2 linked regions of the Lonchura striata genome follow. The protein of the gene in region 2 purifies or fractionates together with the protein of the main gene of each other region. This does not show direct contact. Links are inferred from orthologs where the notes say so. Each region holds a gene or a part of one and is shown on either strand. Other genes may lie near its edges.

Region 1 (7,586 bases), on a different chromosome or scaffold from region 2:
ACTAGATTCTTGTTGAAGTTGATTATAATCAAAGCAATTGTATCACTACAACAACGAGTTGCACTTTATCTTTTCATTAGCACTACAAGAATGTTATCCTTTTGAAAAGATAAAACCCTGTATCAAAATTCATATAGGATATTTTTTAAGAAAGCGACACCGAAGGTTCACAGACTGCAAAGTGCCCTTGGCCAGGCCACACTGGTCTGAATAATGCTAAACTAAGAGGTAGATCTACATACAGAAAGTAATCCCAACTGCAGCAGACTGAAGTTTCCTGCTGGAAGTGCACAACAGGCAAGACACAATCCCTTCTATCCCACTTATGCTGTATCATAGCCCATACACTGCTAGATCCAAAAGAATGGATTCTATTCAATGTATCTCAGGAGTATACCTTGTTATCCTTGACAGTCCACTGCCCTTCTGCATTCTGCTGGAAGACACAGTGCTTACGAGAGATCATCAAGGGACAGGTTTTTGACACCAGCTGGTACGTGTTATCTAATCCTCGGCCAACAGTCACCTAAAAATAAAGTAGCATAGTTACTGCAATCAGTAATGACATGGTAAATTCAGTTTATGGCATTTCAATTTAAGTACAGCAAAACTCTATATCAATATCTTATGGTTATTTCCAAAAGGTCTGGCATAGTATGATTTTTTTTTTAATTTAATTTTAAGAGTATATAGAAAATAGAAGCTTATAAAGTTTGAAGTATTATCTTTCTCTCCCACTGAGGAAATTTTAATTTCTCTGAGGCACGTTACAACTTGGTTTCATGGAAATCTTCCTCAGCGGCAAAGCTGCTCAAAGCCACTCAGATACAACTCTGTCCCACCTCAATCATTACCTAACCAAATACCATTTCTTCAAACCAGCACTATTGTGTGTGGGTCTCAAGACTACTTCTTAACCTCTTCTTTTGCTAGTTGCATCTGTTCAACCATTTGTGAACAGAAAAGATACAGGAAAAAAATAGCCCAGAAAACTGCCATCAAAAAAAAGTGCACACTCAACATTGTCCTAAATACACAGTACTTTTGTAAATCACACCATCGATCTTATGGCTCAGAATCTAAGCTACATGCAGCTCATAATCAGTAGTAAAAGTGATCTAAGTAACTGCATTAGACTAATACTATTTTCTGGAAGAAGGCATATATTTGTAGTATTGCACAGTATCTTTTTAAATCTCATCTGATTTCAGATTGCCATTTAAAGCACATCCCTGCTCTCCCTCCCTCTGCTGCCTCCTCTGCACACTTCTCTTAATTAATCCGCATTACCTGAGCAGTTCTCACCTTGAGTTTAGAGCAAGAATTCAGACCCCCGTGTCATAACCAAAAGCAAGGAAGCAAACTAAGATAACAAAAGCAAACTTAAACATGTTAGTGCCTACCTCTTAAATGTTTCATATAGTTTTCTGTCAGCATGGATTGCATACATAAGAGGTACAGAGACTCAAATGGATAAAGACTCCCTTCTTCATGAGGATTCAAACATAAAAGCAGCTTTGCATTTGTCCCTGCAGTGGCATCCTCAGGGCCCAGTCACACACGTCTACAGGACCTCACATATCAATATGAGTGAGAGCAAGCAGGGGCAGTCATAAAATTCCCCCTTGATCAAGCTCATTTAGCAAGCAGGGGTCCAAGATGTTACCACTCACCTGCTGGAGTTCAGTGCTGCTCACAGCAGTACCGGCAAATCACATCCCATTCCCACATATGAGCAGTGTCCTTTAGCACCAAAGTGGTCACAGCACCAAGCCTGATAGTGTTAAAAAAGTGTTTGGATAACATCCTCAGGCATGTGGTGTGATTCTTAGGACTGTCCTGTGCAGAGTCAGGAGCTGGACTCAGTGATCCCTGTCAGTCCCTTTCATCTCAGCATAATCTATGATTATGATTTAAATCTCCAGCAAAAGCAGTTTGTACTCTGTGGCCTGGCACACCTACAGCACCTCCCTGCTGCAAATGACAACCACTGTGCATACAATCAGAATAGTAACATACCAAACTGGATTCCCTGCATAATTATCAGTGCCTTGGCTGCAAGTTGTTAGCGCCAGTCCTTCACCGAGGAGATCTGCAAATCTCAGGGCTTCAAATCCACAATGGGAGAGTAACAAAAGCATACGTTTGGATGGGTGCCTTTTGCGGTGTTTGAACACAAGGCCTTGGCCACAGCATCACCCATACCACCTGATTTTGACCACCGGAACAGCACTCCTTTTACGCTGCCCCAACGTCATCACACGTCTTTGCCTGCTGGGTTTTAAAGAAGAGTACCAGGGCCCATTTTTCAATTTAAAAACACAATCGCTAAGAAAACGGCTATTCCCGTACCGCATCAAAACAATTTAAAAGTGACTTCATTTACACCTGAATACCTTATGCCTTAGGTACTGTTAACCTCGCCAAAAGCACCACCTTGTTAATTAGGCTATGGGCTCCCTTCGTCCTCACTTACGTTACCGTTACACGAACAACTCTATCTAAATATGACATAAGAATGTAAAGACATAAACAAGCGAAGGCTCGTCCAAGGCCACTCCAGCGCCTGGGTCCGTCTTCCACGACCGGGGGCGTTACCGGGGCTGAATGGCGCCCGCCCGGGCGGCTCCTCCGAACGGCCACGAACGGAGGCTGCTCCTTAAGCGGGACAAGGCGGTGCTTTTTCCTCCTGGGAAGCGCTGTAAGAAACACGAGACCCCACCAAACTGCGCCCCGAGAGCCGTGCCTGCCCCCCCGCCCACTCCGAGGGGTCGGGGCCCGGTGCGGCTCACCTGCGTGCCGGCCTCCAGCAGGAGCCAGTCGCCGCTGGCCCCGACTCGGCGGAGGCACCAGGCCAGGCACGGCACGCCGCGCACCGCCATGGCGCCCGCCCGCCGCGACCGGCGGGAGCGATCTCCGCGGCGGGAGCGATCTCCGCGGCGGGAGCGATCTCCGCGGCGGGAGCGATCTCCGCGGCGGCAGCGATCTCCGCGGCGGCAGCGATCTCCGCGGCGGCAGCGATCTCCGCGGCGGCAGCGATCTCCGCGGCGGGGCGGCGCTCGCAGGGGCCGGGGCGGGCCGGGGCCCGTCCGAGCCCGGGCTGCGACCGGAGCCCGCGCGTGCGCCGTAGGACGGCGGGGCCGCCGCGCGGCGCTTTCCCGCAGTCCCGCCGCGCTCCGCCGGGTCCCGCCTCCCCCTCGTACCGCCCCTTCCGGGCGCCCCGGCGCTGCCGTCCGCCGTGAGGCGCCATGGCTGCCGCCGCCCGGCTGCGGCGGCGGCTGCTGCTGGCGGTGCCATGGCGCTGGCGCTGCAGTCCCCGCCGCGGCGGTGCCGCCTGCCCGTCGGCGGGGCAGATCCGCGCCGCCTTCCTGCGCTTCTTCGAGGAGCGCCACGGCCACCGCCGCCTGCCCTCGGCCCCCGTGCGGCCCCGCGGCGACCCGCGTCTCCTCTTCGTCAATGCGGGCATGAACCAGGTGCTCTTCCCTGTCCTGCACCTCCCCTCCTCCGGCTCGCCGGCGCTTCCGCATCTCAGAGGAGCGCCGCCCGGCTCGGGGTGTCCCCTGCCAAGATCTCCGGCGTTGCCCTGGGCTCCCCGCGCCGCCGTCCTGCTGGACGCCTCTCGTAGTGCCGCAGTGCTGTGCGAGTCTCCCCCGCTGGCGATAGTTTAAAACTGTCAACACAATCCTGTGCCGTGTGTTCTGGAACGAACTAGCTAAAGCAGGGAGGTTGGACCAGATGGCCCACTGTGGTCCCTTCCAACCTGACCCATTCTGTGTATCGGGAGCCCCAGGCGCAGGCTCACTGCACTAGGTGGCATCTGTCCATAGCGGGTACAGATGCCACCTAGGCATCTGTAGGAATGCCTACACCTAGGCATCTAGAGCGTGTGTCTCTCGTTTCCAGTTCAAGCCCATTTTCCTGGGCACGGTGCACCCCCGGAGTGAGCTGGCCCAGTACCGGCGGGTGGTGAACAGCCAGAAGTGTGTGCGTGCAGGAGGGAAGCACAACGATCTGGAGGATGTAGGCCGAGATACTTACCATCACACGTTCTTTGAGATGCTGGGGAACTGGTCCTTTGGGGATTACTTTAAGGTGAGGTGATAGTAGTGAACCCTTTCTAGGGGAAAACATAACCTGCCTTTCAGAGCTGTGCTGTAGTGCCATAGGAGTGTGTACAGAAGGTGTTTTGGTAAGATCCAGATTCATTCCTGGGGGCTCTGTGGCCTGGAACAGCGGTGGTGAGCTCATGGGCTCTATTGCTGAATGTGTCCTGAAGACTCTCAAAGCACTCAGCCTGCCAAAGCTGTGACCAACATGTAAAAATAAAAGTTTTCTGTGAGAATGCCAGTGTTAGCCACTTAATATGGTGTAAAGAGGTTACCAGCTCATTTAATGTTTGTTACTAGAAGGTTTGAAAAGGGAAGAAGAACAAAGGATGCTAAGTTTTTTAGGTGACATATAGATTTTTTCTTTGGAAATTAAATAATCCATGTAACTCTGCCAGCAAGCACATAGATGCACACCATGCTGAAGGGCTCACAACATTTTAGAAATGTCAGTTTTCCACTGGCAGCAGTGAGCTGTTTCATTCTCCTGACCTTCATCCTTGCTCTTTGCAATAAGTCTGAAAATTAGAAAGGGAGAGAAACAGCTGAAATTAACTTCTTTGTTGTTTGATTCCCATTCTAAAGACTCTGAATTATTGTGCTTCATTTATGTTCCCTACCTGCTCAGGAGGAGGCATGTAGCATGGCCTGGGAGCTCTTGACAGAGGTCTATGAGATCCCCAGAGATCGTCTCTATGTCACCTACTTTGGTGGAGACCCCTCGCTGGGGCTGAGCGCAGACGAGGAGTGCAGGGATGTGTGGCTCCACTTGGGGTAAGTGTGTCAGAGAAGAGGTGCTGACATTTTACTTTCCACAGTCTTGCATTTGCTCTTTAGTTGATCAGCTGTGGGGGCCAGAGAGTATGTTTTACCATTTTGTTTCTGGTTTCTTTGCGCTGTTAAAAGTCAGCTGGGCTCTGAACTCACTGGGTCTCTTGAACTTTTGGTTCATTCTCAGGTAGTATCAGTGGGGGTGGGTATGTGCCTAAAACTGGCTGGCCTGGATGAAGTACGTACAGGATCTCCAATCCTTTGCTTCCTCTCCATCATGAGAGTGTGTTCTCTGAAAGCAGGCAATGTCTGCTTCAGTGAGAGGGTGCAGCCATTGCAGAGAGCACTGCTGTGCTTGGGGATCTTGTTCCAGCTGTATGTAGGCTTTGAGCCCAAGGCAGACAGCTCTGTGCCACTGATGGTGTTCAGGTCTTGCCTCTGCTCCAAGGAGCAAGGTGCTCCACAGACCCAGTGGAGAGCCTGTCTTGGTCAGCAGGGGCCAGGCTGTGTTTGCCCATAATTCTGGGCTGAGACTAGGGTCCTGTGTGGTTTGGCTCACTTAATCTTACTAAGGAGAGTAATTCTGTGTGAAGAGAAGGAAGCAGAGGAAGTAGAGAAACAGAGGAATTCTGATGTGTTTCCTTTTTGAGTCTGTAGAAGGAAGAAAGGATTCCTTTCTTCCAGCTTTCTTTGTGATCTGGGTTACTGTGTGGTTTGTGTGTATGCCTCAGCACTGCCATCTCTGTTATCTGCCTTTCCAGGGTTCCTGCCAGTCACGTGCTTCCTTTCCCATTGAAGGATAACTTCTGGGAGATGGGGGACACAGGTCCTTGCGGTCCCTGCACAGAGATCCACTATGACCACGTGGGTGGTGGCAGAAATGCTGCAGCACTGGTGAACCAGGGCAGCCCCGATGTAGTGGAGATCTGGAACTTAGTTTTCATGCAGTACAGCAGGTACCAAGCATCTCATCTGAACTCCAGAGCCTTTCCCCCTAGCCTGACTCCAAAATCATGGGTATATTCTCAGACTTATCACTGGTTTCCAGAAGGTAGCAATACCAAGACCAGGAGCAAGAGAGAAACTGTGGAGATTTGCCCAGCATGGCTCTTGGTCCCCTTTGCTTTAAATCCCTGTCTTCTTCAACCTTCACTGCCTATTCTCCCTTAATGCTGCATTCCAGAGATCTCTTGAGGTCTGCAGCAGTCTGGAAGAGGAGGAGAAGGCCTTTTTTCCTTACATTGCAGCCTATCCTACATTGCATTTTCCTTACATTGCAGCCTATGCTATGTGATGGTCAGATAATGGCTGCCTGACAGGGCTAAGGCAGGCTGCTGTCACTCTTATCCCTGAGCTTCCTTATGCTGGGTCACCCAATGTTTCCATCCCCTGTCACTTTCCCATTCTCTTTGATTCACCTGTTCCTTATTTTTGCTCATGAACTGATCCTTGCTTCTCTTTTGCCTTTTATTTTTCCTGCCTGGCTGACAGAGAGGTGGAGGGGAATCTCCTTCCCTTGCCGCAGTACCATGTGGATACAGGAATGGGTCTGGAAAGACTGGTGACAGTTCTGCAGAACAAACGTTCCAGCTATGACACAGATCTCTTCACTCCCATCTTGGATGCTATTCACAAGGTGATGGTGCTTCTGCTTAGAGTCACAGCTCAACAAAAGCTCCTTGAACACAGACTGCTTGCTGGGTAGCATAGTATAGTCTTCTCTGAGCAGTTATTGAGCAGTGTCTTGAGGCGGGAGGTTATGTCCTGCCAGGTCCAATGCAGTGTTCTAGAAAAAAGGGAGAATTCCAGGCTGGAAATCTGCTGGAATTTCAGCACTGCTGATTCATTTTCCTTTAAAGTGTTTTAAGTTTCTCAGTGCTAGGGCATTGGCTGACCTGTGTTAGTTACAGAAGTCTTGGTCTGTAGTGCCGTGGAAGGATTTGATGAGTACATCTTAGGTGCACGGGGTTCAGAGGTACTTGAAAAACATGATGTCAGGCATAGCTGGCTGCCTCTTGTGTTGAAACTTCTTCTGCAGCCATTATTTTCTGCTGATTTTCTCTCTACTTTCTCTTTTAGGTCTGCAGGGCACCCAGATACCAAGGTTTGGTCGGGAATGCTGATGTTGGGCGTGTGAACATGGCCTACCGCGTGGTGGCAGATCATGTGCGCACCCTGTGCGTGTGCATCACTGATGGCATCTACCCAGGCTTCTCTGGAGCAGAGTAAGGACGTAAGGAGATGGCATGAGGTGGAGGAAGTTAGGTCTAGAAAGGAATATGAACAGCCAGGGAAGAGGTTCTAGTGTGGGCCCCAGATAGGGAGTACATGAGCTTTTAGGGAGACAGGAAGATGAGAGCCAGGAAGGGGTTCCAATCTGCAGACTTCCCCTTGGATGGGTGTAGAGTGTTGGGAGCATCTGGCCTGTGCTGATGAATCAGACCAGATGAGCTGGGGGATGCTGGATGTGGCAGCTGGGCAGGGATGCTCACAAGGCTGCCTGAGGAATCCTTCTCTGTTTTCAGACTGGTGCTGCGTCGGATCCTGCGCAGGGCTGTACGCTTTTGCTCTGAAGTTCTACAGGCTCCACCTGGGCTCCTGGCCTCCCTGGTGCCTACAGTTGTGGAAGTGCTGGTGAGTAAAACTGCTGTCTTGGGGGAAAAAGGTCATCACGCATCCTATTCAGCCCCAAGTCCATTTTCTGCATAC
Region 2 (8,055 bases):
CTGGGATGGACTGGGACGGACTGGGAGGGAACTGGGACGGACTGGGAGGGACTGGGAGGGAACTGGGACGGACTGGGAGGGACTGGGAGGGAACTGGGACGGACTGGGAGGGAACTGGGAGGGACTGGGACGAACTGAGACGGACTGGGACGGACTGGGAGGGAACTGGGAGGGACTGGGACGAACTGGGACGGACTGGGACGGACTGGGAGGGAACTGGGAGGGACTGGGACGAACTGGGACGGACTGGGAGGGACTGGGAGGGGTTCTTGGGGGGTCTGGGGTAAAAAGGGGTCACTGGGCTGGCTGTGGGGGGAAGTTGGGGTGCACTGGGGGGTGAATTGGGGATGATGAGGGGTCCCCTGACCCCTTTTCCCCCCCCAGGCAGCGGGATGGGGCCGGGTTGTGTTTAAGGGCTGGTTTTGGTGTCCTGGGCCAGTTTTGGGGTCCCGGGCTGTATTTGAGGGTGGTTTTGGGGTCTCAGGTTCTGTTTGGGGCTGGTTTTGGGGTCCTGGGCTGTTTTTGGGGTCCTGGGCTGTATTTGAGGGTGGTTTTGGGGTCTCAGGTTCTGTTTGGGGCTGGTTTTGGGGTCCTGGGCTGTATTTGAGGGTGGTTTTGGGGTCCCGGGCTGTTTTTGGGGTCCCGGGCTGTTTTTGGGGTGCCGCTGACCCCTCTCCCCCACAGGCAGCGGGATGACCCCGGGCGGGGCCGGGTTCTCCCCCAGCGCCGCCTCCGACGCCTCCGGCTTCAGCCCCGGCTACTCCCCGGCCTGGTCACCCACACCCGGCTCGCCGGGGTCCCCCGGCCCCTCCAGCCCCTACATCCCCTCCCCCGGTGAGTACAGCCCCGAAAACACCCCAAAACACCCTGAAATAACCCCAAACACCCGAAAACACCCTGTAACACCCAGCAACAACCCAGAACTCACTGAAACACCCTAAAACACCATGAAATAACCCCAAACACCCGAAAACACCCTGTAACACCCAGCAACAACCCAGAACTCACTGAAACACCCTAAAACACCCTGAAATAACCCCAAACACCCGAAAACACCCTGTAACACCTAGCAACAGCCCAGAACTCACTGGAACACCCTGAAATAACCCCAAACACCCTCAGAACACCCTGTAACACCCAGCAACAACCCAGAACTCACTGGAACACCCTGAAATAACCCCAAACACCCTCAGAACACCCTGTAACACCCAGCAACAACCCAGAACTCACTGGAACACCCTGAAATAACCCAAAACTCCCTGTAACACCCAACAACACCCCAGAACTCACTGGAATACCCTAAAATAACCCAGAACACCCGTAAAATACCCTGTAACCCCTAACAACAGCCCAGAACTCACTGAAACACCTGAAAATACCCTGAAAATAACAAAACCACCCTCAAAACACTGCGTAACCCCTAACAACACCCCAAACACACTGAAACACCCTAAAATACCCTTAAAATAATGAAAACACCCGTGAAACACCCTATAACACCTGACAACACCCCAAACACACTGAAACAGCCTGAAATAACACAAAAGATCCATAAAATACCCTGTAACCCCTATCAACACCCCAAAACTCACTGAAACACCCCAAAACAGCCCCATAGCAGCCCATCACTGAGCCCCACAACACCCGAACAGCACCTCAAAGGGACCCCCTACACCCCACCACCAGCAACAGCCCCACAACACCTGAACCACACCTCAAAGGGCCACACAGCCCTCTACAACACCCCCACAACACCCCACCACCCTCCCCAACACCCTCCTGACCCCCGTGTCCTCTCTCCGCAGGTGGGGCCATGTCCCCCAGCTACAGCCCGACGTCCCCCGCCTACGAGCCGCGGTCGCCGGGGGGCTACACCCCACAGAGCCCCAGCTACAGCCCCACCTCGCCCAGCTACAGCCCCACGTCCCCCAGCTACAGCCCCACCTCGCCCAACTACAGCCCCACCTCGCCCAGCTACAGCCCCACGTCCCCCAGCTACAGCCCCACCTCGCCCAGTTACAGCCCCACCTCTCCCAGTTACAGCCCCACGTCCCCGAGCTACAGCCCCACCTCGCCCAGTTACAGCCCCACCTCGCCCAGCTACAGCCCCACCTCGCCCAGCTACAGCCCGACGTCCCCCAGCTACAGCCCCACCTCGCCGAGCTACAGCCCCACCTCGCCGAGCTACAGCCCCACCTCGCCCAGTTACAGCCCCACTTCTCCCAGTTACAGCCCGACCTCGCCCAGTTACAGCCCAACATCCCCAAGCTACAGCCCCACCTCGCCCAACTACAGCCCCACCAGCCCCAACTACACCCCGACCTCTCCCAGCTACAGCCCCACCTCTCCCAGTTACAGCCCCACCAGCCCCAACTACACCCCGACCTCACCCAACTACAGCCCCACCTCGCCCAGCTACAGCCCCACGTCACCCAGCTACAGCCCCACCTCGCCCAGTTACTCCCCGTCCAGCCCCCGCTACACCCCGCAGTCGCCCACCTACACCCCCAGCAGCCCCAGCTACAGCCCCAGCAGCCCCAGCTACAGCCCCACCTCCCCCAAGTACACCCCGACCAGCCCCAGCTACAGCCCCAGCTCCCCCGAGTACACCCCGACCTCGCCCAAGTACAGCCCCACCTCGCCCAAGTACAGCCCCACCTCGCCCAAGTACAGCCCCACCTCGCCCACCTACAGCCCCACCACGCCCAAGTACAGCCCCACCTCGCCCACCTACAGCCCCACCTCGCCCGTCTACACCCCGACGTCGCCCAAGTACAGCCCCACCTCGCCCACCTACAGCCCCACCTCGCCCAAGTACAGCCCCACGTCACCCACCTACAGCCCCACCTCGCCCAAGGGCTCCACCTACAGCCCCACGTCCCCCGGCTACAGCCCCACCTCACCCACCTACAGCCTCACCAGCCCGGCCATCAGCCCCGACGACAGCGACGACGACAACTGAGGCTCGGCCTGTGGGCGCGGGGGTGGCACCCCCCGAAACCCCCGCCCCAGGCCGTGGGCGTGACCCCCAGATGGCCACGGGGGCGGGGCTGTTGTCGCTCCCCAACAACCCCACCTCGATCCGGGCACGGGGTTGTCGTCACCCCCGAACCCCGCAGGCCGTGGGGGTGACCCCAGCATTGATTTGGGGCCGCGGTGGTTGTCACCCCCCAAAAACCCGGATGGATACGGGGTCGGGAGCGTCACCCCCTGAACCCCCGAATTCTGACGGGCTCGGGGTGGTTGTCACCCCCGAACCCCGCAGGCCGCGGGGGTGACCCCAAAACTCACACAGGGGCGGCGGCGTCACCCCCACGCTGCAGTGGGGTCGGGGGTGTCACCCCCCCAAAACCCACAACAGCCGTGGGGGTGACACCCGAATTCCCGTGGGAACGGGGTTGTCACCCCCAAACCCCAACGTCCAACGGCAACGGCGGTGTCACCCCAAATGCAAATGTGCTTGGGGTTGTCACCCCAAATGCAAATGAGCTTGGGGTTGTCACCCCAAATGCAAATGAGCTTGGGGTTGTCACCCCCAAACCACCAAGTTTCGGTGGGGACAGGGCTGTTGTCACCCCCCGGGTCCCCACGGACTGTTGGGGTGACCCTGGAATTGGGGTGACACCAGAGGGTGGTGATGGCCAAATTTGGGGTCCCCCCCCAGAACTGGAGGGACCCTCAGGTTTGAGGGGGAACTTGACCCCAAAGTTCAGAGGGGGCAACCCCCAAACTCGGGGGGACCCCCAAACTCGGGGGGACCCCTAAATTAGAGTAAAACCCTAAATCGGGGTGAAACCCTAAATCGGGGGGTTGATCCCCAAACCCGGCTCTGACCCTTAAATTTGGGGTGACCCCCGAGCCGAGGGTGACCCCCCCCCCAAGTTAGAGGTGACCCCCAAGTCGGGGGGGGGGAGGGGCTGGTGTGGGAGCCCCCCCCCCAGTTTTGGGGGGGCCGGTGGGGGGTTGTAATTTATGGGGTTCGTTAATGAGGGGGAGGGGGAGGGGGGCGCTCGGTGGTGGCGGTTTGGGGGTTCGGGGGGGGGGTCCTCTGCCCCTCCCCCACCCCCCATTTATTTTGCTGTTTTGACTTTCGGGGTTGTTGTGGGGGGAGGGGAAGAGAATTTTGGGGGATTTCAGATTTTGGGGGCAGTTAATAAAAGTTTTATTGATTTTCACCCGTGACTTTTTTTTGGGGGGAGAGAGGAGACCCCAAAATTCCTCATTTGGGGCCACCTGGACACACCTGGGCACCTGTGGGGGGGCCCTGAGGGACTTGAGGGGGACGTGGAGGAACATCACGGTGGGTATGGCTGGGTCCTGGAGGAACATCACGGCTGGGTCGTGGTGGCCACGGTTGGGTTGTGGTGGCTGTGGTTGGGTCATGGTTGAGTCATGGTGGCCATGATTGGGTCATGGTGGCCGTGGTGGCTGTGGTTGGCTGATGGTGACCATGGTTGGGTCATGGTTGGGTTGTGGTGGCTGTGGTTGGGTCATGGTGGCCATGGTTGGGTCATGGTTGGGTTGTGGTGGCCATGGTGGCCGTGGGTGGGTGATGGTGGCCATGGTTGGGTCATGGTGGTCATAGTTGGGTTGTGGTGGCTGTGGTTGGGTCATGGTGGCCGTGGTTGGGTCATGGTTGGGTCAAGGTCGCCATGGTTGGGTCCCAGCTGCCCCAGGACCCTTTTGGTGTCATTTTTGGGGTCCTGGGACCCTTTTGGTGTCTTTTTTGGGGGTCCCAGGACATTTTAGGGGTTGGTTCTGGAGGTCCCAGCTCCCCCAGGACCGTTTCGGGGTCGGTTTTGGGGGTCCCAGGTACCCCTGGGCCCTTTTGGGGTCGGTTTTGGGCTCCCGGGACCCTTTTGGGGTCGTTTTTTGGGGTCCCCAAATCGCGGGCGTCCCTTTTGGCGGGAAAAGCCGAGGCCCCGCCCACAGAGGGAGGCGCCAATCCGACCCGCGCCTTTCCCATATATGGCGATGTGGGCGTGGCCCGGAGGGGGCGTGGCCCGGAGGGGCGTGGCCCGGAGGGGCGTGTCCCGGAGGGGGCGTGGCCTCGACTGTCATGGCGGCGCCCGTGGCGGACGGTGCGCGCGGGGGCGCGCGGGAGGATTTTGGGGTTTTTTTGGGGAGGATTTTGGGGTTTTTTTGGGGAGGATTTTGGGGTTTTTTTGGGGAGGATTTGGGGTTTTTTGGGTGGATTTTGGGTTTTCTTGGGGAGGATTTTGGGGTTTTTTTGGGGGAGGATTTTGGGGTTTTTTTGGAGGAGGATTTTGGGTTTTTTTTGGGAGGATTTTGGGGTTTTTTTGGGGGGATTTTGGGGTTTTTTGGGGGGGATTTTGGGTTTTTTTTTGGGAGGATTTTGGGTTTTTTTGGGGGGGATTTTGGGGTTTTTTTGGGGGGATTTTGGGGTTTTTTTGGGGAGGATTTTGGGGTTTTCTGGGGGGGATTTTGGGTCTTTTTGGGGAGAATTTTGGGGTTTTTTTGGGGAGGATTTTGGGGTTTTTTTGGAGGAGGATTTTGGGGTTTTTTTGGGAGGATTTTGGGGTTTTTTTTTGGGGAGGATTTGGGGTTTTTTTGGGGAGAATTTTGGGGTTTATTTGGGGGGGATTTTGGGTTTTCTTGGGGAGGATTTTGGGGTTTTTTTGGGGGGATTTTGGGTTTTTTTTGGGGAGGATTTTGGGGGTTTTTGGGTGGGGATTTTGGGGTTTTTTTGGGGGGATTTTGGGTTTTTTTTGGGGGGATTTTGGGTTTTTTTGAGGAAGAATTTTGGGTTTTTTTTTGGGGAGGATTTTGGGGTTTTTTTGGGGGAGGATTTTGGGGTTTTTTTGGGGGGATTTTGGGGTTTTTTTGGGGAGTATTTTGGGGTTTTTTTGGGGAGGATTTTGGGGTTTTTTTGGGGGGATTTTGGGGTCTTTTTGGGGGGGATTTTGGGCTTTTTTTGGGGAGGATTTTGGGGTTTTTTGAGGAAGAATTTTGGGGTTTTTTTTGGGGAGGATTTTGGGGTTTTTTGGGGAGGATTTTGGGTATTTTTGGGGAGGATTTTGGGGTTTTTTTTGAGGAGGGTTTGGGGTTTTTTTGGGGAGGATTTTGGGGTTTTTTGAGGAAGAATTTTGGGGTTTTTTTGGGGAGGATTTTGGGGTTTTTTGAGGAAGAATTTTGGGGTTTTTTTTGAGGAGGATTTTGGGGTTTTTTTGGGGAGGATTTTGGGGCTTTTTGGGTGGGGATTTTGGGGTTTTTTTGGGGGGATTTTGGGGTTTTTTTGGGGGGATTTTGGGTTTTTTTGGGGGAGGATTTTGGGTTTTTTTTGGGGAGGATTTTGGGGTTTTTTGGGGGAGGATTTTGGGGTTTTTTTGGGGAGGATTTTGGGGTCTTTTTGGGGGGGATTTTGGGGTTTATTTGGGGAGGATTTTGGGGTTTTTTTTGAGGAGGGTTTGGGGTTTTTTTGGGGAGGATTTTGGGGTTTTTTGAGGAAGAATTTTGGGGTTTTTTTTGGGGAGGATTTTGGGGTTTTTTTGGGGAGGATTTTGGGGGTTTTTTGGGGAGGATTTTGGGGGTTTGTTTGGGGAGGATTTTGGGGGTTTTTTTGAGGAGGCTTTGGGGTATTTTGGGTGGGATTTTGGGGTCTTTTTGGGGGGGATTTTGGGGTTTTTTTGGGGAGGATTTTGGGGTTCTTTTGGGTGGATTTTGGGTTTTCTCGGGGAGGATTTTGGGGTTTTTTTGGGGGAGGATTTTGGGGTTTTTTTGGAGGAGGATTTTGGGTTTTTTTGGGGGAGGATTTTGGGGTTTTTTGGGTGGGGATTTTGGGGTTTTTTTGGGGGGATTTTGGGTTTTTTTTGGGGGGATTTTGGGTTTTTTTGAGGAAGAATTTTGGGGGTTTTTTTGGGGAGGATTTTGGGGTTTTTTTGGGGGAGGATTTTGGGGTTTTTTTGGGGAGGATTTTGGGTTTTTTTTGGGGTGGTTTTGGGGGTTTTTTTGGGGAGGATTTTGGGGATTTTTGGGTGGTTTTGGGGGTTTTTGGTTGTTTTTGGGGGGGTCGGGGCTCTGAGCTCTCCCCTCCCCCGCAGCCCCTCAGGGCGGCCCCGCCCCCCCCGGGACCCCTCCGGACGCGGCCCCGGCGGAGCCCGAGGAGCTCGAGTGAGTTTTTTGGGGGGTTTCGGCTTTTTGGGGTGGGGGTCTCGGACTCGCCGAGGGGTTTTGGGGTCCCCGACCCCCCCCCCCCCAACCTCGGCTCTCCCCAGTTTCCCCCAGTACGAACTGGGCCGCCCCCCCCGCCCGGTTTGGGGGGCGCGGGAGGAATTCGCGCGGCGCCCCGAGAATTTCCTGCGCGGCTGCAAATGGTGAGAGACCCCAAAACCCCCCAAAACACCCCGCAATCACCCCGAAATCACCCCAAAACTCCCCAAAACCCCCAAAATCACCCCGGAATCACCCCAAAACCCCCAAAACCACCCCGAAATCACCCCGAAATCACCCCAAAATCACCCCAAAATCACCCCGAAATCACCCCAAAACCCCCCGAAATCACCCCAAAACTCCCCAGAACCCCCAAAATCACCCCGACACCACCGCAAAATCACCCCGAAATCACCCCAAAACTCCCCAGAACCCCCAAAATCACCTCAAAATCCCCCAAAACTCCACAGAACCCCCAAAATCACCCCAAAGTCACCCGAAAACCCCCCAAAACACCATCAAAATCACCCCAAAATCACCTCAAAATCACCCCAAAAGCCCCCAAACTCCCCCAAAATCCCCCAAACCCCTCGGGGGGAGATCTGGGGTCCCCTGGGGGTTCCTTGGGGGGTTTGGGGGTCCCCGGGGTTCCTGGGGAGGCGTTTGGGGGTCCCCAACTCCCGGGGGTTCCTGTGGGTTATTTTGGGGTCGCCTTGGGGTTATTTTGGGGTGACAAGGGGGGTTGTTTTGGGGTTATTTTGGGGTCCTTGGGGATTATTTTGGGGTCCCTTAGGGGCTTTTATTTTGGGGTCCCTGGGGGCTGTTTTGGGGTTGTTTTCGGGCTGTTTTGGGGTCTCTTGGGGCCGTTTTGGGGTGACCCGGGGG

The links.
Region 1: the proteins of WRAP53 (region 2) and RNF8 purify together in Homo sapiens (affinity purification with western blotting; 3 studies listed by BioGRID). This does not show direct contact. The link is inferred for Lonchura striata from reciprocal best matches to the Homo sapiens genes WRAP53 and RNF8.

The regions. Positions count from the first base shown.
Region 1 is NC_134605.1:29,922,177-29,929,762, forward strand, and holds the start of RNF8 (E3 ubiquitin-protein ligase RNF8), read right to left. Parts: upstream 3,015-7,586; 5' UTR 2,883-3,014; coding exon 2,793-2,882; intron 527-2,792; coding exon 398-526; intron 1-397. Other genes in the region: AARS2 (alanine--tRNA ligase, mitochondrial), read left to right, coding at 3,249-3,473, 3,904-4,092, 4,735-4,880, 5,639-5,833, 6,369-6,513, 6,957-7,102, 7,403-7,511. UniProt on the Homo sapiens protein: E3 ubiquitin-protein ligase that plays a key role in DNA damage signaling via 2 distinct roles: by mediating the 'Lys-63'-linked ubiquitination of histones H2A and H2AX and promoting the recruitment of DNA repair proteins at double-strand breaks (DSBs) sites, and by catalyzing 'Lys-48'-linked ubiquitination to remove target proteins from DNA damage sites.
Region 2 is NC_134636.1:1,989,468-1,997,522, reverse strand, and holds the start of WRAP53 (telomerase Cajal body protein 1), read left to right. Parts: upstream 1-5,055; 5' UTR 5,056-5,059; coding exon 5,060-5,081; intron 5,082-7,061; coding exon 7,062-7,131; intron 7,132-7,235; coding exon 7,236-7,334; intron 7,335-8,055. UniProt on the Homo sapiens protein: RNA chaperone that plays a key role in telomere maintenance and RNA localization to Cajal bodies. Specifically recognizes and binds the Cajal body box (CAB box) present in both small Cajal body RNAs (scaRNAs) and telomerase RNA template component (TERC).